Linked DNA regions of Arabidopsis thaliana. The protein of the gene in region 1 purifies or fractionates together with the protein of each later gene. This does not show direct contact. Each region holds a gene or a part of one and is shown in the gene's direction. Other genes may lie near its edges. The genes, in order: Hsp81.4 and AT1G32880.

Region 1 (13,298 bases):
TGTGGCATAAGCACCATGACTGGAAGAAACATGGTGAAGGCAATGAAGATGAAGAATACACCACTTGCTAGAAGTAAACCGAAATACATCAAAGCTTTTCCTGAAGGCATACTACTTGTTGCAGACTGCAGGTTATCTCTAACTCCTTTCGAAACACTGTTAACAATCCAGATTTGAGTACAACAAAATTCAAAATCAAAAAGTTAGTAACACTTCAAGAAAAAGATATGCTTAAGACTCTTAATCAATTCTAAGTCATTGAGAGAAGACACTAATCAAAATCATTCACTAACAATAGCTTCAAACCCTGAGAATTTGTAAATCTGATCAACGAATCTGGCAAAGCTTAAACTATATGGTTAATCACAATTTCTCAGATTCCAGATTTAATTTACACCAATCCAATCCTCAATAGCAGGCGAAAACGCCTAATTTCTCAGATACGGTCACGATCAATCGTTAAACCCCTAAAGATTAAGAGAAAGAGATGGATGGATTACACATTAAAGGTGCCGGAAACAGTGTCGTTGGCAGATCTAACGGCGGATTCGATATCGAAGCCTAAAGTTCCGGTGTCTTCTTCAAAATCTCTCGATGCTGCGTAAGAATTCCAATCAGCTAGCAGAGACGTTCCTCCTGTTTGCAGCGGTTGCTGCTGCTGATCTCCGCTGCTACTAGTGCCGCTCATCGGAAACCATCCTTTGGCCATTTTCTCCATTTCGTTGGGAATTTTTGGAGCTGAGAAATCAAAATATAGCTGAATACCGACGATCAGTGGTTTACGTCGGAGCTAAGGAAATCGGCAGACGTCAAATCGAGCGTTGATGAAGATTCTGTCAAGGGACCGTCGTCTTAAACGGCAGTGTTATTTTGCGTTGCACTACTCATATTCTAATCGTAAAAGTTATTTAAAAAAATAATAATAACCTTTAAAACTGACCAAAAAATTGTTACACAAATTATCCTTTTTAATCAAAGTAGTAACAACATTTGTGCAGAAAATTAACGCTAAGTCAAACAGTAACAACAGTATTATGTCGAACAATAAATTATTTATTATTGTAAAGAATATGTAAGCTGTGTTGTCTGAGATGCTTAACAATATGATTTGGAGCTGCTTCATGTATTTTATTAGCCATATTAGTCATACTAATAACTTAGTTATAGGCTACATAACCAAAATAAGCTTGGATTTGCAAGATTGTGCATAAGAGAACCTTTGTCATCAAACCGAATTCAGAGAAAAAATCTTCACGAAAACAAGCGATAGAAGAAATAAACTCCAGAAAATAGTTCCAAAATATTAGTTCAAACGAAAACATAAAAAAAAAAGATAAAAAGATAACCAATGTCTCAACACCCCTAATGATTAAGTCGACTGTGTGTGATAATTTAGTCAACTTCCTCCATCTTGCTACCTTCAGCATCGGCATCATCTTCAAGTGGAGGCATGTCAGCATCGGCTTCAACAACATCATCGTCATCAATGCTCAATCCAAGCTTCAACATCCTGTGAATCCTGCTCCCGAAAGTGTTGGGCTCATCGAGGCTGAAACCAGAAGTGAGAAGAGCGGTCTCAAAGAGAAGAAGTACAAGGTCCTTCACAGACTTGTCGTTCTTGTCTGCATCAGCTCTCTTTCTCAGCTCATCCATGATGGAGTTCTCTGGGTTAATCTCCATTGTCTTCTTGCTCGACATGTAGCCACCCATGCTGCTGTCTCTCAAGGCTTGAGCTTTCATGATCCTCTCCATGTTTGCAGTCCAGCCATACTCGCCTGTTACAAGACAGCAGGGTGAGTCCACAACACGGTCAGAGACGATAACCTTCTCAACCTTGTCTCCCAAAACGTCCTTGATCACTTTGCAGAGTCCCTCAAACTTCTCCTTGAGCTCTTCTTTCTTCTTCTTCTCGTCTTCAGTCTCATCCAGTTTCAGACCTTCCTTGGTTGCAGAGACAAGCTTCTTTCCTTCGAATTCCTTGAGCTGACCAATAGCATACTCATCGATAGCGTCAACCATGTAGAGAACTTCAATACCCTTCTTCTTGAGCTTCTCAAGGAATGGAGAGTTCTCAACAGCCTTCTTGCTCTCACCAGTGATATAGAAGATATCGTTCTGACCTTCCTTCATCCTTGTCACGTAGTCCTTGAGACTGGTCAATTCATCACCGCTCTTGGTTGAGTGGTAACGGAGCAACTCAGCAATCTTGGTTCTGTTTTGGGAGTCCTCATGGATACCGAGCTTCAGGTTCTTAGAGAAAGCCTCATAGAACTTGTTGTAGTCCTCCTTGTTCTCAGCAATCTCAAAGAAGAGCTCAAGACACTTCTTCACAAGGTTCTTGCGGATGACCTTGAGGATCTTGTTCTGCTGCAATGTTTCTCTTGAGATGTTGAGAGGAAGATCTTCAGAGTCAACAATACCCTTGACAAACCCAAGGTACTCAGGAATGATGTCTTCACAGTTGTCCATGATGAAGACACGACGGACATAGAGCTTGATGTTGTTGGGCTTCTTCTTAGTGTCAAAGAGATCAAAAGGAGCTCTCTTGGGAACAAAGAGGATAGCTTTGAACTCAAGCTGTCCTTCAACTGAGAAATGCTTCACAGCCAAATGCTCTTCCCAGTCATTGCTCAAACTCTTGTAGAAAGCAGCGTACTCCTCCTTGTTGATCTCCTCTGGCTTCCTCATCCAAATCGGTTTCTGCTTGTTCACCAAATCCCACTCATGAGAAACCTCCTTAATCTTCTTCTTTTTCTTCTCCTCCTTTTCTTTCTCCTCATCAACTTCCTCAACCTTGCCTTCCTCATCCTTCTTCTCTTCCTCCTCTTCATCATCAGAGATCTCCTTCTCAATGGTCTTCTCAATCCAGAGAGAGATTGGGTAGCTGATGAACTCAGAGTGCTTCTTCACCAAATCCTTAAGCCTTCGCTCCTCAATGTACTCCATCTGGTCTTCCTTGAGGTAAAGGACCATCTTAGTTCCTCTACCAAGAGCCTCACCAGAGGTGTCTCTGGTGACGGTGAAAGATCCACCGGCCTGAGACTCCCACACGTACTGCTCATCGTCATTGTGCTTGGTAGTAACAACAACCTTGTCAGCAACCAAGTAAGCAGAGTAGAAACCAACACCAAACTGTCCAATCATGCTAACATCAGCTCCAGCAGCCAACGCCTCCATGAATTCTTTGGTTCCAGATCTTGCAATTGTTCCAAGGTTGTTCACCAGATCTGAAAAATAAAACAAAAACGTATTAGCCAACACACCAAACACATAAATAATCAACGAAAACCAATACAAATTGCTTTTGACTGAAATCAATTACGTACCAGCCTTGGTCATCCCAATACCACTATCGATAATCGTCAAGGTGTTGTTAGTCTTGTCGGGAATGATGTGAATGAAGAGCTCTGGCTGACCATCGAGCTTGCTCTTGTCTGTCAAGGACTCAAACCTAATCTTGTCCAAAGCCTGTTTTCACCAGAGTAAAATCACAATCGTAAGTAACCAACCAATACACAGAACGTATATACAAATTACATATAAGCAAACTTTGTAAATCTAACAAGAGTCTGCTTAATCGTTGGTATCAACACTAAAACTAATCAACAGATTTGAACACAAACAGCTTCGCAACTTCAATTACCAACCAAAATTCTAAAATCGGCTAGAACACTAAACCCTAATCAATCCTAAATCTACAGATCGAACAGCCAGATCAATCAAACGAGACAGACAAGTATAAAATAAGGTGTAGAGAGATAGAGATCGTACATCAGAAGAGTTACTGATGAGTTCACGAAGGAAGATCTCCTTGTTAGAGTAAAAGGTATTGATGATGAGGGAGAGCAACTGGTTGATCTCAGCTTGGAAAGCAAAGGTTTCTGCGTCCGCCATTCTCGTTGATCGGAAAAAAAATCTAAGAGCTAGGGTTTATGAATCAAATCGAGAGATAAAGAGAGCAAAATTTTCTTTAGAGAGCAGAGAAGTGTTGATTGATACGAGACTTTGGGGAAGGATGTTATTATATATAGTGGTGTGGGGACTGGGAACCTATAAGGGTTTCTAGATCCTTCCTATTTGATTTATGTTAATTTGCTTTTCAGGTCCACATAATCTGCAATATAATTAAATGGAAATTACAAAATACAAAACTATTTTTTGGTAGAAAAATACAAAACTTTATTAAATTTTTTAAAATTTTATTCCCTTTTATTTTATTTTGGAGAACAGGTGTAATTTACTACTTTTTGTAACAGGTTTTAGTTTACTTCTTTTTTTTTTTGGTTAAATTTTGTAATTTACTATTTTATTTTATTGGTTGATGATAATTTACTATTTATAAAAAACAGTCAGATTTAATTCTACTCCCTTTTTATTTTGCAGAACAGGTGTAATTTACTACTTTTTTGTAACAGGTTTTAGTTTCCTTTTTTGTTAATTTTGTAATTTACTATTTTATTTTATTGATGATAATTTACTATTTTAAAAACAAAGCAATAATTTTATTTTTTGCTTACAACTTTTTTTTTCCTGTTTACAGATTGGTATGTGTATCTTTTAATAAAGTTTCAAAAAAATCAATAATTAAATAATAATATTGAAAGTTGTAAAATAAATAAATTAAAACAATAACAAAAAGAAACACATATTCTCTAAAAAGCGTGGGGTTTGTGGGGAGAAAAAATTGATTTTTTTTTTTTAACTTCAGAATTGATTAAAACTTTTTTTTTTTTTTTAACACAACTATTTATCTTGTTGTTATAAATTAAATACATAACTAAAATTTGAAATAAAATTTTGAGATATCTTGAAACTAAGGGATTAACTTTATCGATTTCAAAAAATAACCCAAAACTAGGACCGATCTAAAAAAATCTAAACATAGATAAACTAGAATGAATGGGAACTTGTAAATTCAAATCCATAACAAAATCGAATTTTGTATATGGAGAAAAACATTGTTTTTATTGATTAGTTTAGCTAATAGAAAAATTTAACAAAAAAAAAAAAAAAAAAAGTAAGTAGCACTTGTTCCAAAAAAAAGGAAAGTAAAATATTATGACAATTTTTATATTTTACAATTTCCATTATATTATGACGTCTGTTTCCACATCCCCTATATATTACACACTTTTCCCCCTTAATCAAACCATCAATACTTCTCTGCTTCTCTTAAGAATTTGCTTTTTGATTCACATAAACCCTAATTCTTAGATTTTTTTCCCGATCAACGATAATGGCGGACGCAGAGACCTTTGCTTTCCAAGCTGAGATCAACCAGTTGCTTTCCCTCATCATCAATACCTTTTACTCCAACAAGGAGATCTTCCTCCGTGAACTCATCAGTAACTCCTCCGATGTACGATCTCTCCCTCTCTGTCTTTCTATGTTTATCTTTAAGCTTAATGTGTTTGTGTATCTCCTTCGATTGATTTGACGGATCTATGTGTAGATTTAGGTTTTATTAGGGTTTAGTGTTCTTTTCGATTTGAGATTTTCGTTTGTTAATTGATGGAACCTTTTCATGTTCAAATTTGTTAGATTACTTAGTTTTTGATTGTATATATGTTGTGTGTATTTTGTTACTTATGATTGAGCTTTTTATTCTGGTGAAACAGGCTTTGGACAAGATTAGGTTCGAGTCCTTGACGGATAAGAGCAAGCTCGATGGTCAGCCTGAGCTTTTCATTCATATCATTCCGGACAAGACTAACAACACCTTGACCATTATCGATAGTGGTATTGGGATGACCAAGGCTGGTACGTAATTGATTTCATTCAAAAGCAAGTTGTACTTGATTTCATTCAAAACCATTATCTATGTGTTTGATTTGTGTTTGCTGATTCGTGTTTGTTCTATTGTACAGATTTGGTGAACAACCTTGGAACAATTGCAAGGTCTGGTACCAAGGAGTTCATGGAGGCATTGGCTGCTGGAGCTGATGTTAGCATGATTGGTCAATTTGGTGTTGGTTTCTACTCTGCTTACTTGGTTGCTGACAAGGTTGTTGTTACTACCAAGCACAACGACGATGAGCAGTATGTGTGGGAGTCTCAGGCCGGTGGATCTTTCACGGTGACCAGAGACACCTCTGGTGAGGCTCTTGGTAGAGGAACAAAGATGATCCTTTACCTCAAGGAAGACCAGATGGAGTACATTGAGGAGCGAAGGCTTAAGGATTTGGTGAAGAAGCACTCTGAGTTCATCAGCTACCCAATCTCTCTCTGGATTGAGAAGACCATTGAGAAGGAGATCTCTGATGATGAAGAGGAGGAAGAGAAGAAGGATGAGGAAGGCAAGGTTGAGGAAATTGATGAGGAGAAAGAAAAGGAGGAGAAGAAAAAGAAGAAGATTAAGGAGGTTACTCATGAGTGGGATTTGGTGAACAAACAGAAGCCTATCTGGATGAGGAAGCCAGAGGAGATCAACAAGGAGGAGTACGCTGCTTTCTACAAGAGTTTGAGCAATGATTGGGAGGAGCATTTGGCTGTGAAGCATTTCTCTGTTGAAGGACAGCTTGAGTTCAAAGCTATCCTCTTTGTTCCCAAGAGAGCTCCTTTCGATCTCTTTGACACTAAGAAGAAGCCCAACAACATCAAGCTCTATGTCCGTCGTGTCTTCATCATGGACAACTGTGAAGACATCATCCCTGATTACCTTGGGTTTGTCAAGGGTATCGTTGACTCTGAAGATCTTCCTCTCAACATCTCAAGAGAAACATTGCAGCAGAACAAGATCCTCAAGGTCATCCGCAAGAACCTTGTGAAGAAGTGTCTTGAGCTCTTCTTTGAGATTGCCGAGAACAAGGAGGACTACAACAAGTTCTATGAGGCTTTCTCTAAAAACCTGAAGCTCGGCATCCACGAGGACTCCCAAAACAGAACCAAGATTGCTGAGTTGCTCCGTTACCACTCAACCAAGAGCGGTGATGAATTGACCAGTCTCAAGGACTACGTGACAAGGATGAAGGAAGGTCAGAACGAGATCTTCTACATCACCGGTGAGAGCAAAAAGGCCGTGGAGAACTCTCCCTTCCTAGAGAAGCTCAAGAAGAAGGGTTACGAAGTCCTCTACATGGTTGACGCTATTGATGAGTATGCTATTGGTCAGCTCAAGGAATTCGAGGGAAAGAAGCTTGTCTCTGCAACCAAGGAAGGTCTGAAGCTGGAAGAGACTGATGACGAGAAGAAGAAGAAAGAAGAGCTCAAGGAGAAGTTTGAGGGACTCTGCAAAGTGATTAAGGACGTTTTGGGAGACAAGGTCGAGAAGGTTATCGTCTCTGACCGTGTGGTGGACTCACCTTGCTGTCTAGTAACAGGCGAGTATGGCTGGACTGCAAACATGGAGAGGATCATGAAAGCTCAAGCTTTGAAGGATAGCAACACGGGTGGTTACATGTCAAGCAAGAAGACAATGGAAATTAACCCAGAGAACTCGATCATGGATGAGCTGAGAAAGAGAGCTGAAGCGGACAAGAACGATAAGTCTGTGAAGGATCTTGTGCTTCTTCTCTTTGAGACCGCTCTTCTCACCTCTGGTTTCAGCCTTGATGAGCCCAACACTTTTGGAAGCAGAATCCACAGGATGTTGAAGCTTGGATTGAGCATTGAAGAGGATGATGCCGTTGAAGCTGATGCTGAGATGCCTCCGCTTGAAGATGATGCTGATGCTGAAGGTAGCAAGATGGAGGAAGTCGACTAAATATTGCACAAAGTCGACTAATATTAGCGGTGTTAAGAGTTTTGGTTCTATCGTTTTACATATCTTTGAGAATTTTTTTCTGCTGTAGTTTCTTTCTTATCTTGAAGCTTTTTCTCTGAACTCGGTTTTATGAAAAAGATTTTTTTATGCGAAAGGAACTCTGTTTCTAGCAAATCCAAGCTGATTTTTTGTCAGGTCATATAACTTAGTTATGACCATATTTTGCTAACCAGAATTACGCTAATCATATCTCACACAAAACCGTTACATACAGTGGTCATATATTAATGTAAGTATATAACAATATTAGTGTTTATTTAACTAAAATAAATTTTATTGCTGATCTTTTTAAAAATTATTTTTGCTATTACATGTTTTTAATAAAAGAAAGCTAAGAAACATATCATTATTGCTATAAACCCCACTAATTATAGTTGTTTTGAAAATAATATAGTTATTTTTTTGTAAAAGATATACATGTAACTTCAGCATTTTCATCGTTTTCTATTTTTGAAACTAATCAAAAATAATAGTAAGAAAAAAACTTTTATGAAATATATATAACTTATTTTCTCAATATCTCTTTAGTATATTGATTAATTTATGCTTCTTAAGCCATATTATTTTTAATTTAAAGCCATATATAAAATAATTATAAGAAAATTGAAACAATAATTGGCAAAAAGATGCAAATTCCAGGTTAATTGAATCAGATGCAGATACAAAATTTGTAATTATAATGAAATCGTAAAAACATTAAATGAATTAAAGAGAAAAAAAATACGACGTAGGGTGCAAAGAGGAGATTTCATCTCAACGCATGGGGGTCATATTAGAGATTTGAAGCCAAATGATTTATCGAATAAACTTTAAAAAAGTTTTTTTATAAATGTCATGGGGGTCAGTTGACCCCCCTCCTATATAACTGCCTCCGCCCCTGGTTACATAATATAGAACAATTTCTTGGCACATGGACCTAAGATTGACACACATACAAATTATATTATACTGTACCATAGAAAATATACAATTATCTATATGTAACAAACAACTATATATAAGATGATTAAAATATATGTAATGATAGAATTCTATTATAATATAATGTTGTATACGTTTATCTATACACAGTTGATAAAATTTTCCAAAATAAACCATAAATTTAAAACTTTACAAATACTCATCTTACGTAATATATTAATATATGATAGCTTGAAATAGCCAAATTAACTATAACAAACAACTGTGATGGCATATTGCCGTGCAACAGACAAGTATTTACCTAGTTTACATGTTATTACATGATATTTTGTTGAAATTATTTTTGAATTTTAATAATTAAAATACTAATTTTTGTAGTTTTTTCTAATTTTTTTTAATTTTATATAGTTTAGAGTTATAATCTATTATTTTTCTTCCTTACAATAAACAAGAGAATTAATTGTTTTATTGTAGAGTTTCTACAAAGTTGTTTTAAATAGCATTTTTAGTTAATATTTATGTTGAAGACTATAAATTGTTTAAAACAATTATCATTAGTTCTCATTAATTATTTACATATGATTTATATTTAAATCGCTAAAAATATGATTATCATGTGTTTAATTCAACTTTAAAAGCACATTAACATCAATCAATCATTAATAGATCGAATGAGCTTGATGTTTTAGTTGGTCTTATAAATTAATTTCCCCGATAAACAAAAACAAATTCTCTCCGACCAGATAAAACATTACATGGTGATGCTTCAAACTAAAGTTAGCTTCATTACATCTAACAATTTCGACATTTCTGTGATCGAAGCTCGAAGTTAAATCAAACATAGTTTCTTTGGATTTTAGCTATCGTTTCCAAGGCAAATCTCTCATATTTTTTTAACCATAAAAAATAATCTTTTATACTCTTTTTATTCTTTCAAACCAATTAATCTTTTCCTATGAGGAGATTTTAGTTATTTGTGTGAGCATAGTTATGAAAACATGTAGACAATAATTGAAACCCAAATGTAAAAGGTCCAAATTTAAAGTTTTTGTGGTTTAAAGCATAAAATTGATTTTCAAACAATATTCATGTAAAAAATAATGTATAAAAAATAAAAACTAAATCATATTAATGAAATATTCTTATTGAAAGAGAAAAAAGCTGAAGAGAGTGCGTGAAGTATGGTTGTTGGGTTGAGTTGGCTTTTAGAAGCATTATTTGATCTTGAAGTTGAGTTTGTGTCTAGTATGGCTGAAGATAAGATGAAGAGTAAAAACTGTTTTTTCAAAATGAAAAGTGTTTGGTAGTATATATTTCTTGGAGAAAGAGATAGTCTACATAGAGCGTGAAGAACTTTTAGAAGAAGTTTCTTATTTCAGTCTTGTAAAGAAAAACAAGAAGAATGGTCTTCCATCTCGTTTATATGATTTATTTTTTATACGCTAAAAATATGATTGATCATGTGTTTTATTCAATTTTAAAAGCACATTAACATTAATCAATCATTAATAGATCTAATGTGCTTGATGTTTTAGTTGGTCTTATAAATTAATTTCACCGATAAATGAATTTTTTTTTCTCCGGCGAGATAAAACATTACATGGTGAGGCTTCAAGCTAAAGTTGGCTTCATTACATCTAACAATTTCGACATTTTTATGTACGAAACTTGTAGTTATATCAAGCTTAGTTTCTTTGAATTTTAACTATCGTTTCCAAGGCAAATCTCTCATATTTTTTAACCATAGAAAAATAATCTTTTATACTCTTTTTATTCTTTCAAACCAATTAATCTTTTTTCTATGAGGAGATTTTAGTTATTTGTGTGAATATAGTTATGAAAACATGTAGACAATAATTGAAACCTAAATGTGAAAGGTCCAAACTTAAACTTTTTTGTGGTTTAAAGCATAAAATTAATTTTCAAAAATATATATGTCAAAATGATGTATATAAAATAAAAACTAAATCATATTAATGAAATATTCCTTTGAAAGATAAAAAAGCTGAAGAGACGGCATGAAGTATGGCTATTGAGTTGAGTTGGCTTTAGAAGCACTGTTTGATCTTGAAGTTGAGTTTGCGTCTAGTATGGCCGAAGATAAGATGAAGAGTAAAAGTTGCTTTTTCTAAATGAAAAGCGCTCCTTGGAGAAAGAGATAGTCTACATGGAGCGTGAAGAACTTTTAGAAGAGGTTTCTTATTTCAGTCTTGTGTAGCAAAACAAGAAGAATGGTCTTCCTTCTCCTCAAGAAAGAACATGGAAGTCATTGAAGCATAAATGAGTCATTCTTCCATTGCCTTACTACAAACACAATGTTCCCCTCATCTACAATGGATGGGAAACTTGATTGGCAAGTCACTTCCTTTTGTATTAATGTAGGGTTCTTGGTGAGGGAAAATCGCTAATTCTTCAATTAGGTTTTTTTTCCCTTTTCTCACCTCTTCTTCTTTTTGGAAGAACATTATTCATGTCTCTGCTTCTCAACCATCCCCCGAAGCTCTGCTTTCGTATACCCTTGTTGGTAAGATCATCTCCTCTTCTCTCTAATGGCGTCTCATCGAAGATCCACTTTTTGTCATCATGTAAGTTGATTCTTGTGGAGCTGATCTCGGAAAACTCGTCATTAGGAGGGCTGGTGACATCACTCAGTTTTGACTAGTTTTGCTTACAAGTCACATATGAAATGACTAGTTTTGCTTGCAATCTAGAAATCCATTGAATTAATATTAAAAGCTAACTCTAATAACCAAAACACAGAGATTGAAGCAAATCTTTTTAATTGGATTAATAAATAAACTGAAAAACTTTACATTACCATAACATCAAGATGCAAAAGTTGTATCTACAGATAGACCGAGCGAAATCAAAAAGGACAAAAACCAAACTAAAAAGAAGAATTTTGCTTCACAAAAAAAGCTCAATAAAAAATAAAATGAGTTCAGAGATTTAGAAATGTAACAAATAAAGAACCATAACGAAAGAACAACCTTCAACAATACAATGATGTCTTGCCGCTGCTTGCTTTTGCTTTTGCTTTTTCAGGTATCTTCAACCTGAGAATGGAACACAAAGCTTGGAAACGTAGTCGTGATATCCCTGCAGAGCAAGCACACAACAGGATCACGACCTTTATTACATATCATGGAGAATAGAAGAAAGAGAAACCAGAGAAGGAATTTGGTTGAATAGATTCAATCCTGGTTATATAAATAGAAAGATTTGGAACTCACTTGAGATATTGAAGAGTCATGTTCTTCAGAAGGCTGGGATGTCTAAGAACAAGGCTTCTCCACTCTTCCTTATCGATCTTTCCATCGTGTTTTGTGTCTGCTTCCTCAAACGTCTGAAACATTCAAAACTCGGGAAATTACTTTCAAAGAAAAAATATAGGGTGAAGAGGAAAAAAAGTAAGTAACTTACCTTGTCGATTATATCCTCAATGACAGTATCCTTCAAATTCATTCCAGATTCAGCAAGCGTAGCGACAACCATTTGTTTCACCTGGACAAATGATGGACGAAAATGTCAGTGAGGATAATAAAGCGCACTTCTACAAGGTTATATATGAAGCTATTTGAAGATATGGAAGCTTTACCTCTTGCCGTTCGATAAACCCTTGCTGTTTAAGATCATATAGCTGAAATGAAACTGCAAAAAAATAGTATATATCATTAATGTGTTATCCCAATCTTGTTTTTGAGATACAAGCTAAAAGGGACGTACAGTGAATTTTGTCATCTATAGGCGCATTTGGGTGAAAGACGGAGAGAGCACGAGCAAATTCCTCAAACCCCAGTATTCCATTGTGCTTTGTATCAAACAAATCGAAAACCTAGAAACAAAATCACATATTTCAGCATTTCTTCTAAACTTGATCTTGACAAAAATGGGTTTAAGAACACTTATAATGTGAAGAAAGAAACATTACCCGATCTGCAAACAAACTCTCTTTTTTATTTGTCTTAAACAAAGCCAACTGAAACTCTTCCTGATACAAACAAGAGATGAGTAAATTAGACAGATTGTTAGATCAATCACTAAAGCTTTACCAAATGAGGAAGAAGATCAAACAAGTTAGAGTTATACCTTGTTTATTAGCCCATCATCAATCACGGCACTGCTGATTTTCTTAAAAAGCTCATAAAGAGCTTCTATTTCACTCACACTAACTGCATTCCAAAACCAAATTCAATCATCAATAGTCTTCAGAAGAAATATTTTTGCATTCCTCAAATGGTATTGCATCGAATCTTATAACCGGAAAAAAAAAAAAAAAAAAAGAGTAGAGAAGGTGATAGGGCATACAAACAGTGTCTCTTGCAAGCAATTCAGGATCTCCAAGGCCACCAGATTGTTTATACAAATCAAGATCAAAACACCCTAAAACAGAGGTGCATAAATGCTTGATACCGTCAACGCACTGCGACATGATATATCTTAAGCAGCAAATCAAAACTCTCCATGCCTGCATATAAAACATTGTGAACTTGTTTTGCTAATTTCAAAAAACAGCTCTACAGAAGCAAGCATATGAAGAACACTGTACCTTTCAACCATTTCCTAGTGTTTTTTGCTGAGAAAGGATGAGACTTTGCGAGAGTATCTGTAACAC
Region 2 (11,264 bases), on another chromosome or scaffold:
GAAAATCCATATGATTGTGAACAAGATTTGGAGATTGGGAGACCGTTCTTCACTTATAGATGTGTTTGAAGTTAATCAGTCTACAGTGAAGTTTCGTATAAGAAACGAAGGTATGAGGCAGAGGATTTTGAATAGAGGAATGTGGAACATCACGGATATCCCTATGATAGTATCAAAGTGGACCCCTTTTGCAGAGGAGGCTCAGCCGGCGATGAAATCAATACCTTTATGGGTCACTCTCACCAATGTCCCACCAATGATGTTTACAGACAAGGGGTTGGAGTTTCTAGCAAGTGCAGTTGGTAAACCAATCCGTCTACATCCTAAAACAGATGTGTGCGTCTGTTTTGATGAAGCTCAGATTATGGTAGAGGCTGACTTAACGAAAGAATTACTAAAGGAGTACAACTTTACAGGAGAAGAGGAAGGTGAGCTAGACTCTGTCATTAAGTACTCTTACCCATGGTTACCACCAAGGTGTGGCTGCTGTAAAAAATGGGGTCATCTACGTGAAACTTGTCTTTCTCCGGAGAACAAGTCCACTCTGGATACCTCAGCCCTGGATTTGTTGAAAGTTAATGACGTAGTGACAAACATGGACACATCTCCAGGTCTGCAAATTGTTTCAGAACAGCCTGCACATGTAGAGTGTGATTTGCAGCTTCAAGAAAAGGATCTAGCGGCAAAAAGTAGTGATGGTGCACAAATAGAAGCGGTATGAATTAATAATAAGATGGATGAGGGTTGGATCACGCCGGCTAATACAGGACGTAGTCCGGGGAAAACAGAGGGTCTTAAGTACGGTGAGGTTTCTATCCTCTCTAACTCGTTCTCTGCCTTGGGTGAAGAGGAAGTTATGGGAGCAGTAGAAGCAACAGAGGAGGTAGCGGAAAAGGTAGACCAGGAGCCTGCTTTGGTTGTGACAGATACAAGAATTACGATTTCAAGGGAGGTTGAGGACACGGAGCTCTTAACTCGAGGAGATAAGGAGGTCCTTTTGCGTTCGTCTTTACCTCGTGCATCTAAAACTGCTCATAAAGCGATCCCACATAACTCTTCTCATTCAGCAAGGGGTCCCCCTAAAGATCAGACCAAGAAACCCCCTCTTAAACGTTGTTAATGTCGGGGTTCTCATGGAATGTTAGAGGGTTAAATAAGTCATCAAAGCATTCTGTAATAAAGAAGTGGGTGAAGGAAACGCCTTTTCAGTTTGGATGTCTTTTAGAGACAAGGGTTAAGGAGCATAAAGCAGAAAGTTTGCAGAGTAAATTGTTTAAGGATTGGTCGATCATAACAAATTATGAACACAATTCAAGAGGCCGCATTTGGGTTATGTGGCGTAGTAGTACAAGGCTTAGTCCCTTTTATAAGAGTGCTCAGTTGGTAACCTGCTCGGTTAAGCTTGACAACCATCAAGAAGAATTCTTTTGTTCTTTTGTGTACGCTATGAACACTGCAGAAGATCGTAAGATTTTGTGGCAGGAACTGAAAGACCATTCTGATTCACCTATTATTCGGAAACGACCGTGGATAATTTTTGGAGATTTCAATGAAACTTTGGATATCGAAGAGCACTCTCTTGCGGATAGTTATCCTGTGGTCACTGCAGGTATGAAGGATTTTCAACAAACGGTGAGCTATTGTTCGATAACTGATATGGCTTCGCAGGGTCCACTTTTTACGTGGTGTAACAAGCGAGAAAATGATCTCATAATGAAAAAACTGGACCGGGTGTTAATAAATGACGTTTGGCTGCAAACTTTCCCGCAATCCTATTCTACATTTGAGGCTGGAGGTTGTTCGGATCACTTGCGCGGACGAATAAACTTAAGAAGAGAAAAAGGGAGTCAGGCGAAAGGTCGAAAACCTTTCAAGTTCGTTAATGTCCTTGCAGAATTACATGAGTTCCAGCCAATGATAGATAACTATTGGAAGAATACTGAGTCGTTATTCTTGTCTACATCCACTCTTTTCCGGTTCAACAAGAAGCTAAAGGGTCTTAAGCCTGCGTTAAAGTTGCTCGCAAAAGACAGAATTGGTAACCTAGTGAAGAAATCAAAAGAAGCATATGAAGTTTTGTGTAAGAAACAAGAGGCAAACTTATCAAAACCCTTCATTGCAGAATATGGAAGCAGAGAATGCGGCTTATAACCGATGGGAGTTTGTGTCAGATCTAGAAGAAAAATATCTAAAACAAAAATCAAAGTTGCATTGGATGAAAGTGGGTGATAAGAACAACAAGACTTTTCATCGAGTTGTGGTAGCTAGGGAGACAAATGAATCAGATCAAGGAAATTCAATGTGCAGATGGTAGCATTGTAAAGGGTGATGAGATAAAAGTGGAGGCTGAGAGATTCTTTAGAGAATTTCTGCATTTTATCCCAGAGGACTATGCAGGCTGCGATGTTAGTGAGCTTCAGAACTTGCTACCTTTTCGTTGTTCTGAATCTGATCAAGAGCTGCTTACTCGTGAGGTGTCTGCGGAGGAGATACAGAGGGTTCTGTTTTCAATGCCGAAGGACAAATCTCCGGGACCAGATGGTTATACCACAGAGTTCTATAAGGCAACATGGGCTACCATAGGACTTGAATTCATTTTGGCAGTTCAATCTTTTTTTCTAAAAGGTTTCCTTCCAAAAGGAATAAACTCAACTATTTTAGCTCTGATTCCAAAGAAGCTAGAAGCTAAGGAAATGAAGGATTATAGACCTATTTCATGCTGCAACGTAATCTATAAGGTAATTTCTAAGATCATTGCTAACAGATTGAAAGTGCTTCTGCCAGAGTTTGTTGCGGGAAATCAGTCGGCGTTTGTAAAAGACAGATTACTCATCGAAAATCTGTTACTTGCTACGGAACTAGTCAAGGACTATTATAAAGATTAAGTCTCTACCCGTTGTGCTATTAAAATAGATATCTCGAAGGCGTTTGACTCGGTCCAATTGGCTTTTCTGCTGAATGTTTTATTGGCTATGAATTTTCCTGCGGTTTTTATACATTGGTTAAAACTGTGTATTACTACGGCCTCTTTTTCAGTCCAAGTAAATGGCGATCTCGCTGGTTATTTCCAAAGTGCAAGGGGTTTACGTCAGGGTTGCTCTCTCTCGCCATATCTGTTTGTCATAAGCATGGATGTCCTCTCAAAGATGTTGGATAAGGCTGCCGGAGCTCACAAGTTTGGTTTCCATCCTCATTGTCAACGTTTAAAGCTCACTCATCTAAGTTTTGCAGATGATTTGATGGTTCTAACGGATGGTAAGGTTAGATCCATATAGGGTATAGTGAAGGTTTTTGATGAGTTTTATAAGTACTCTGGGTTAAAAATAAGTATGGAGAAGTCGACAATGTATATGGCAGGAGTATCACCTTTAGTGAAAGCAGAGATTGCAGCTCTTTTCCCTTTTGATATAGGTCAATTGCCAGTTCGATACTTAGGTTTGCCTCTTGTTACTAAGAGACTCATGGCTGAGGATTATGATCCTCTTCTTGAGCAGATTAGGAAACGCATCGCGTCGTGGACTTCACGCTACCTCTCATATGCAGGTAGCTCAACTTGATTCAATCTATCCTCTGGAGTATTTGCAATTTCTGGCTAGGCGCTTTTCGTTTACCGAGACAGTGTATCCGAGAGATTGACAAGATTTGCTCCGCTTACCTATGGTCGGGTTTAGAACTGAGTTCAAAGAAGGCAAAGATATCGTGGGAAAAAGTTTGTAAGCCGAAAATAGAGGGGGGTTTGGGTTTGCGAAGCTTGACAAAAGCTAATGATGTTTGTTGTTTAAAGTTGGTCTGGCGAATCATTTCTAATAGCAAGTCTTTATGGGTTCAATGGGTCACCACATACCTTCTTAGGAGGAAGCATTTTTGGACATTGAAGCAGAATACAAATGCAGGCTCTTGGATTTGGAGAAAAATACTAAAGTACAGAGACAAGGCGAAATAATGTGTACAATGCATCATTCTCTACCAAAGAAACGTGGCACCATATCAGAGCTCCTTCTCCCACAGTCCCCTGGTACAACGGGGGTTGGTTCAATCACGCCACACCAAAGTTTTCGTTTTGTACTTGGCTCGCGGTCCAAGATAGGCTCTCAACAGGGGAGCATATGGTTAAATGGAACAGAGGAGAATCGGGTCTCTGTGTGTTTTGTACTAACACTATGGAAACTCGTGATCATTTGTTTTTCTCCTGCAACTATGTCTCGACAATTTGGGGTGACGTAGCTAAGAAGCTATGGAAGACCAGATTCACAAAGGAATGGCCACAAATTCTGGCCTATGTTTCAGACAAGTCATTACAGCGAGTCGATGGTTTCTTAATCCGGTATGTCTTTCAAGCTACAATACACACAGTTTGGAGAGAGAGGAATGGGCGTCGTCATGGAGAAACACCGAACACCACGTCACACTTGATAACTTGGATAGATAAGCAGGTGATCGAAGATATGACAAGGGCAACGTACAGCTCACTCTAAACATTCTCTAAACACCTTTAATTTCTAACTATTTTTTTTCTCAGCTTTTCTCATTTTGCTAAACGTTGCACGAGTTGTAAAAACGTTTTGTTTTTTTTTGAATATAATTTAACATTTTTTCAAAAAAAAAAGAAGAGTAAATCAAATCTCTCTTTTACTCTTTTTCTTGATCGATTTGAAAGATTCTTCATTCACTCGAATGTTTCTTATATTACATGTGCAGAAGATATGCGTAATGTTTCTTATATTACATGTGCAGAAGATATGCGTGGTCCTATCGAAACAGTGATACGATCTGGAGCTGTACATCGTCTCATTCAGTTTCTTCTCGATGAAAGTTTCCCTAAGCTTCAAGTTAGAAGAAAAATTTCCCCCATCAAGTTGATGTTTTTATTGATGATCAGTGTAATCTTTGATTCTGATATATATACAATGATTCAGGTGCACAACATAAAACAATTTGTCTATTTGCTATCTCACTAAACTAAACTGTTTTCCCCTGGTGATAACAGTCAGTAATCGATGCAAATTTGATTCCAACCTTGGTCAAACTGACTCAGAATGCTGAATTTGACATGAAGAAAGAATCTGTATGCGCAATTTCAAATGCGACCTTACTTGGTTCTCATGATCAAATCAAGTACGTCCCTGTCTTATTTCTTTCTTTTTGCACTTTCAACTTAACATGCTTATAGATGATCATCAAAGTCACAATCTCCATTTATTGGTGTGATTCAGATACATGGTGGAGCAGAGCTGCATCAAACCTTTATGTGATATCCTGTTTTGTCCAGATGTAAAAACCATCTTAAAGTGTCTGGATGGAATGGAAAACACATTGAAGGTTGGAGAGGCTGAAAAGAACGCAGGAGACGACGTGAGCTGGTATACTCGACTGATCGAAGCGGAAGGGCTAGATAAGATTTTGAACCTGCAAAGACACGAAAACATCGAGATCTACGACAAGGCTTTGAAGATTCTGCAGACTTACTGGCTTGAAGAGGATGATGAGGATATACAACAACCTCCAAGTTAATAATCTAGTTAAGTAACATCATTTGTTCAAATATCCTAAAAGATAAGAAAATTCTTTTGCTTATTTCTATTGGTACTTTTTTAACAATACCAGAGAAAACTTCCAAGCATAAACTGTGATACTAAACAGCTTCTGAATCTAATAATCCAAGAGAATAATTACAATGACTTGACTCTCTAATGGTTCACACAAAACCAAGCCTTTATGTCTCTTAACCTCTTGGATTTTTCGGTTCTCACCATAACAAAGGCCTCCCTGAACCTCCCATTGTTCCTATGATCACCCAAAACAAAGCACATAAAGCCCCAATGATCGATAAGCAAAAGAAACCTTTGTTCTTCTTCTTCTTCTTATCGTTGTTTCCTCCAGACTTGTTCCTCTTCACTGCTGAGTCACTATCCATAACAACAACATTATTACCTGTGCTTTTAGAAGTAAACCTGAAACGACCACCACTGGTTGACATTCTAACAAGGTTCAGCTTCACAAATGGATTCTCTGATGCATATGCTGGCTTTGCAGGAATGGATTCCAGGAAAGTCCATACACTAGAAGCAAACTTACTAGACTCGTCTTTTGACGGGTCATCTTCATTAGTTGTACTTATACCAGAAGGAACAGGGTTTAGGAATTCAGATGAATCACCTGTCAAGGGAATATGATTAGGATAAGAAGCCAGTCGCTTTCCTCACAATTAGATAGAATATTTAGTATGCGAGTGAAAAGAGGTATCTACAGGAAAATCTGTTAGTGCTTTCAAGTACCTGTACCAGGCGCCTCACCAAACCGGGTAACGGTAAGTCCGTCATTGTTTAGCTCCTGCACCCACGATGATCCATTGTTTATCTGTCTGGTATAGCTGTTACGGAGTGGCCAGTTACTAGCTTGGTTCTTCCCTGATTGCTGCTGGAACTGGTTATTATTGGCCTGGTAAGTCATTAAAGAAGTATTCACCTGAAGACTTTGTGCAAACCCATTTTTCAAATCACCACTAACAAAATCTAACTGAGGATTTGTCACTCCCAAATCAAGGAAATATGAATCAGCACCAACGAAATCATCATCATTCAGGAGACCAGAACCATCCTCGTTCCAGTTATTCTCCATGACTTCCACAGAAGTTGGTTCAGGTTCAGGTTCCATAAGATCATTGATTTCCAAATACATATCTTCCTCCAGGTTCTCCAGATTATACGTGTCTACATGAGAGTTCAGTCCAGACACCCCATTCTGCTGCAATGTTGGACCAGACTGATCTCTAACCTGACTCATCAGCTCTTCAATATCATTATCATCCAATTCAGATTGGTTAAGCCCTTTCCCCCATAAACTATTATCAACACTAGCCGAAACAACGAGCTGATTAGCAGGCTCATCAACATCATCATCATCATCTTCAGCCCATTCTTCTTCAATAAAAGGAGCTCCATATTGCTCACCATTCTTAGGACCAGACCCACTTTTCTTATAAATCTTGTAAAGAACATAAGCATCCTTAACATCTTCACCACCACACCTCTTGAGCTCCTCTTTGTGCAATGTATACTCATGCATCACCCAATTAGTCCGTTCGCCATTAGGTGCCCTGCCTCTATGGAAAACAAGAGTCTTCTTCTCTCCAACGGGTCTCGAATCACAATGAATGACTCTATCCTTCCCTGTTGCTTTCCAATAGCCACGTTCAGTAGCTCTACTTGACCTACTTCCATGTTTCCTATCCCTTAAGCTGAAAAAGAACCATTGACGATCTCTAGTCTTATACAACGCTTTCTCTACACAAAAAAAAAGAGTCCATTTTTAAAGTCAGAAGCTAAAAAAAAAAAAACCTTTAGAGTGTAAATCAATCAACCATACATACATATGTAACAATCATGCTTGTTCAAATTGAGCAATCTATGAATGAAACAGATAAAAATCGAAACTTGAAAACAGAGCAAAACATTCCAATTTTGAGGTAAACGAAAGCAAATCAAATGAATTAAAGAGTAAGGAGAAGATTTGAAATGAAGGGTACCAGGTAATTCCTCAGGATCAAACTTATAGACATCAGTCTCGCCGATTGCTTCGACTCTGAGTTTTTTCCGACGGATCTTTCTTTTGAGATAATAGACGACAAGTTCTTCGTCCGTCGGATGAAACCTAAAACCTGGAGCTAAACCTCCGTTCTCAACCGACAAGTCCATCACTTTTTTCTCTCTCGTTATCACAAAAAAAAAAACCCTAAAAAGTTTCGATTTTTCTGTACCAAATGGAAGAAGAGTCTTATTCTGCGGAAATATTTTATTTTTCATTTAATTTAATTGGTGTTTTTTCCTTGGAGAAGAAGGTTTGGCTTACAGAGACGACACGTAGCATCTTTGTTTGCGGAATTATTTTACTTTTCATTTCATTTAATTGTTATTTTCTTTTTCCTTCTGGAGAAGTAGAAGGTTTGGCTTCGAGAGACGTCGTTTTTTCGGGTCGGATACCCATTTAGATTCAAATCGGTATTCCAAATTTTCGGAATTTTGGATTTGAGATAGAAAATCTGTTTGGATATATTTTAGATTTTGGGTTCGGATTAAATGTTTTAATTTCTAATTCGGATTCATCAAAATTTCCAAAAATCAAATATTTCATAACTAAATATATTTAAACTACTCAAAAATATAAAGAATATATATATAAAAAACCCAAAACATTTTTTTAACCAAATTTATTCAAAAATAATTAACTATTTAAAATATTTTAAACATTCAAAAATCCGCATGTTTTGACACTTGATTATTAAAAATATAAATATTAATAATATATTATTACTATGTATTTAAATTGTAGATATGTTCCGATATCAGTTCGAATTCGATTTTTGGATTTTGAAATATAGAATTTGTTCATGTATTTTGAAATTTTGAATTTAGATTCGGATCAGATACTCGGATTCGAATATTATGCCTAACTCTAAACGACACGTAAGATTAGAAACTTGATTATAATAAGCGTGATATTTTATTTAGTAATAATAAATTCATCGGCCTACAAAAACTGTGGGTTTTTTTTTAGATGTCCATGATTTCTCCAAATGACTAGAACACAACCGAAGTATTTGAGAATTTTGTTGAGCTCTTGTATATACAGAAAATAACCCATTGGATGTGTTATTTGAGTTTAGTGTTATATTATATTTGAAAGATTTGACTATCTACCATTTATGTTGTATCTTTTCTTCAATTATATATTATAATATATATTTTTAAAGAGTACATAGTTATGTTTTTATTTTATTTTTTTAGAGATGGAGAGAAAGATGAAGCAGCATCATCATCAGATGTGAAAAAGATTGAGTTTACCTTGTTCTATATTAAGAGGTGTTTTAATGTTCTTGCGCAATTCTCTTTCAAATTGAAATGGTTTGTACTTTGTGCCATTACGATTGATATGCTCTACTGGTATCAAGGATTGAGATTGGAAAATTTTAGGTGTCATTATCAAATTGATTGCAAATGGAGAAGATTAGCTGTTTGTCAAAACTTATAGTATTACAATCATGTTCTATTTTTATTTTTCTTAATATCTAGAAGTTCAATAATGAAGATTTTATATTTTTTAGAAGTGAAATCCATATTAAGTTAAATTCATCTTTTTTAGAAAATAAATCATTTTCAACGTACGTCGAACACAATACTTTCATCTGAAAAATTTACCACTAGCTAACACCACGTTGATTACAATCGGGTTTTATTGTTGTATACAAACTATTTTACGTAAATTATGTGTTTTTTGATTAATGTTATGGTTGAACAAAAATGAATTTGTTCTTCGTTCAATACTTATTTAGATAACACCATGGTGAAAGAAATTGTAAAGTTTTTTTTGCTATTTTGGTGGGGTTTTGGCTTCTTTTATTTGGACTTTATTTTTTATTTTCTTTTGGTCTTAATTTCCAGAATTTCTTCATTCTCTGATGGTCTCTTGTACTTTTATTTGAAAATTTAAATTAAATTAAGGTGAGAAAATAAAAGATTACTCAATTTTAAAATAGCACTTAAAATGCTTTTCTCTTGTCTAAATATTTAAAGTTTCGCAAGAAACAATTTGTACCGAGAAAACTTACCGTTATAAAAAGTATATTATATTCAAAAAAAAAAATTGAGTTGAACCGAACGTGAAAGCTGTAAAGTTGTAAAGGCGACAACTACACCAAAGAAGGCTAATAATCGAAGAATATGTTCTTTGCAAAATAGACCAACGTTTTCAATATCCGAATGTAATAACATAAAATCATTAACTAAACCTATCTCTTTCTAAAACAGTATCTAATTTAGTAAGCAAATAAATATCTTACCTGCGACAAAAAATATATAAATATCTTGGTTGAAAAAATTCAATTATGAATATAGAGCAGGCCGACCTATGCCGGTGCAAAAGACACGTAAAGTCAGATGAGAGAAAGTTCAGAGCCGATCAAAACCGTCGATTTTGTAAACAATGCACATTCATCAACCTTTGTCAGTTTCCCAAAAAGTAAAATATAAAAAGAGATTAAATTTTCCATAGATTTTCAACTTTGCAAGCAGTGAATGAATCGTTCATGTGAAGCTAAAGCTACTTGTTTTTTGTTTACTTGCCTTTTCTTTTTCCTTACTTCTCTCTAGATTCGTTTCTATTGTTTTTCTCACATATATATGCATGCATTTTTCTAGTAATAATAACTCAAATTTATAACAAACTCAAAAATTCATATAAGTATAGAAAGTTGAGAATGAATTAGACACATGAACATTGAAACATAATTCCAGTTTTAACTTTAATTATAACTGTACTCTCCTGTCTCCATCACCTTAAATTGTGTAAGATTAAGATAATTGAGTTTTCTTGTAGTTTACTTCTTTTTAAAAAACAATTTATAATATACACACAAAACTACATCGAGATTCCCTCCTTAAATAACCGACTCAAAAAATATCCGAAATCAAAACGATTTAATAAAAAACCAAAATAGTAAGCAAAATAACGAATCACAATATCACATTCACACTACCTCAGCTTCCGACCACCTCCACTGTTAATAAACTCAAACCTCTGCAATTGTCTTCTTCTCTTCAACTCCATCATCTCCACCACCGGCATTCTCGCCGGAATCCAATGGAGCTTACCAGCTTCCATCGCTCTTCTCTCTTATTCCTCATCTCACTAACATTGATCATTCTCCCGACGACAACAACTTCAATCGGAGTAAACTACGGTCAAATCGGAGACAACCTCCCCTCCCCAACCGACGTAATCCCACTAATAAAATCAATCGGAGCAACAAAAGTAAAACTCTACGACGCAAATCCACAAATCCTCAAAGCTTTCTCCAACACCGGAATCGAATTCATCATCGGACTCGGCAACGAATACCTCTCCAAAATGAAAGATCCTTCAAAAGCCTTAACATGGATCAAACAAAACGTTACTCCATTTTTACCTGCGACTAACATCACATGCATAACTATCGGTAACGAAATCCTCGCTCTCAACGACTCTTCACTCACTACCAATCTCCTCCCAGCGATGCAAGGAGTTCACTCTGCTTTAATCACCGCCGGTCTCTCCGATCAAATCTCCGTCACCACCGCGCATTCTCTCTCGATCCTCAAATCCTCATTCCCACCTTCCGCCGGCGAGTTTCAACCGGATCTACTCGATTCGCTAACTCCGATCTTAGAATTTCACCGGAAAACTGATTCTCCGTTCTTAATCAACGCGTATCCTTTCTTCGCTTACAAAGG

What was found.
Region 2: the proteins of Hsp81.4 (region 1) and AT1G32880 fractionate together in Arabidopsis thaliana (co-fractionation; one large-scale study listed by BioGRID). This does not show direct contact.

The regions. Positions count from the first base shown.
Region 1 is NC_003076.8:22,672,006-22,685,303, reverse strand, and holds Hsp81.4 (HEAT SHOCK PROTEIN 81.4), read left to right. Parts: upstream 1-5,151; 5' UTR 5,152-5,236; coding exon 5,237-5,359; intron 5,360-5,618; coding exon 5,619-5,760; intron 5,761-5,867; coding exon 5,868-7,702; 3' UTR 7,703-7,966; downstream 7,967-13,298. Other genes in the region: AT5G56020 (Got1/Sft2-like vescicle transport protein family), read right to left, coding at 1-156, 501-718; HSP81-3 (heat shock protein 81-3), read right to left, coding at 1,393-3,227, 3,327-3,468, 3,772-3,894; CBL2 (calcineurin B-like protein 2), read right to left, coding at 11,725-11,782, 11,917-12,029, 12,107-12,187, 12,282-12,334, 12,410-12,518, 12,615-12,674, 12,773-12,855, 12,992-13,115. UniProt on the Arabidopsis thaliana protein: Molecular chaperone which stabilizes unfolding protein intermediates and functions as a folding molecular chaperone that assists the non-covalent folding of proteins in an ATP-dependent manner.
Region 2 is NC_003070.9:11,908,175-11,919,438, reverse strand, and holds AT1G32880 (ARM repeat superfamily protein), read left to right. Parts: upstream 1-4,703; coding exon 4,704-4,829; intron 4,830-4,987; coding exon 4,988-5,115; intron 5,116-5,213; coding exon 5,214-5,511; downstream 5,512-11,264. Other genes in the region: NAC13 (NAC domain protein 13), read right to left, coding at 5,747-6,156, 6,276-7,283, 7,526-7,802; AT1G32860 (Glycosyl hydrolase superfamily protein), read left to right, coding at 10,636-11,264.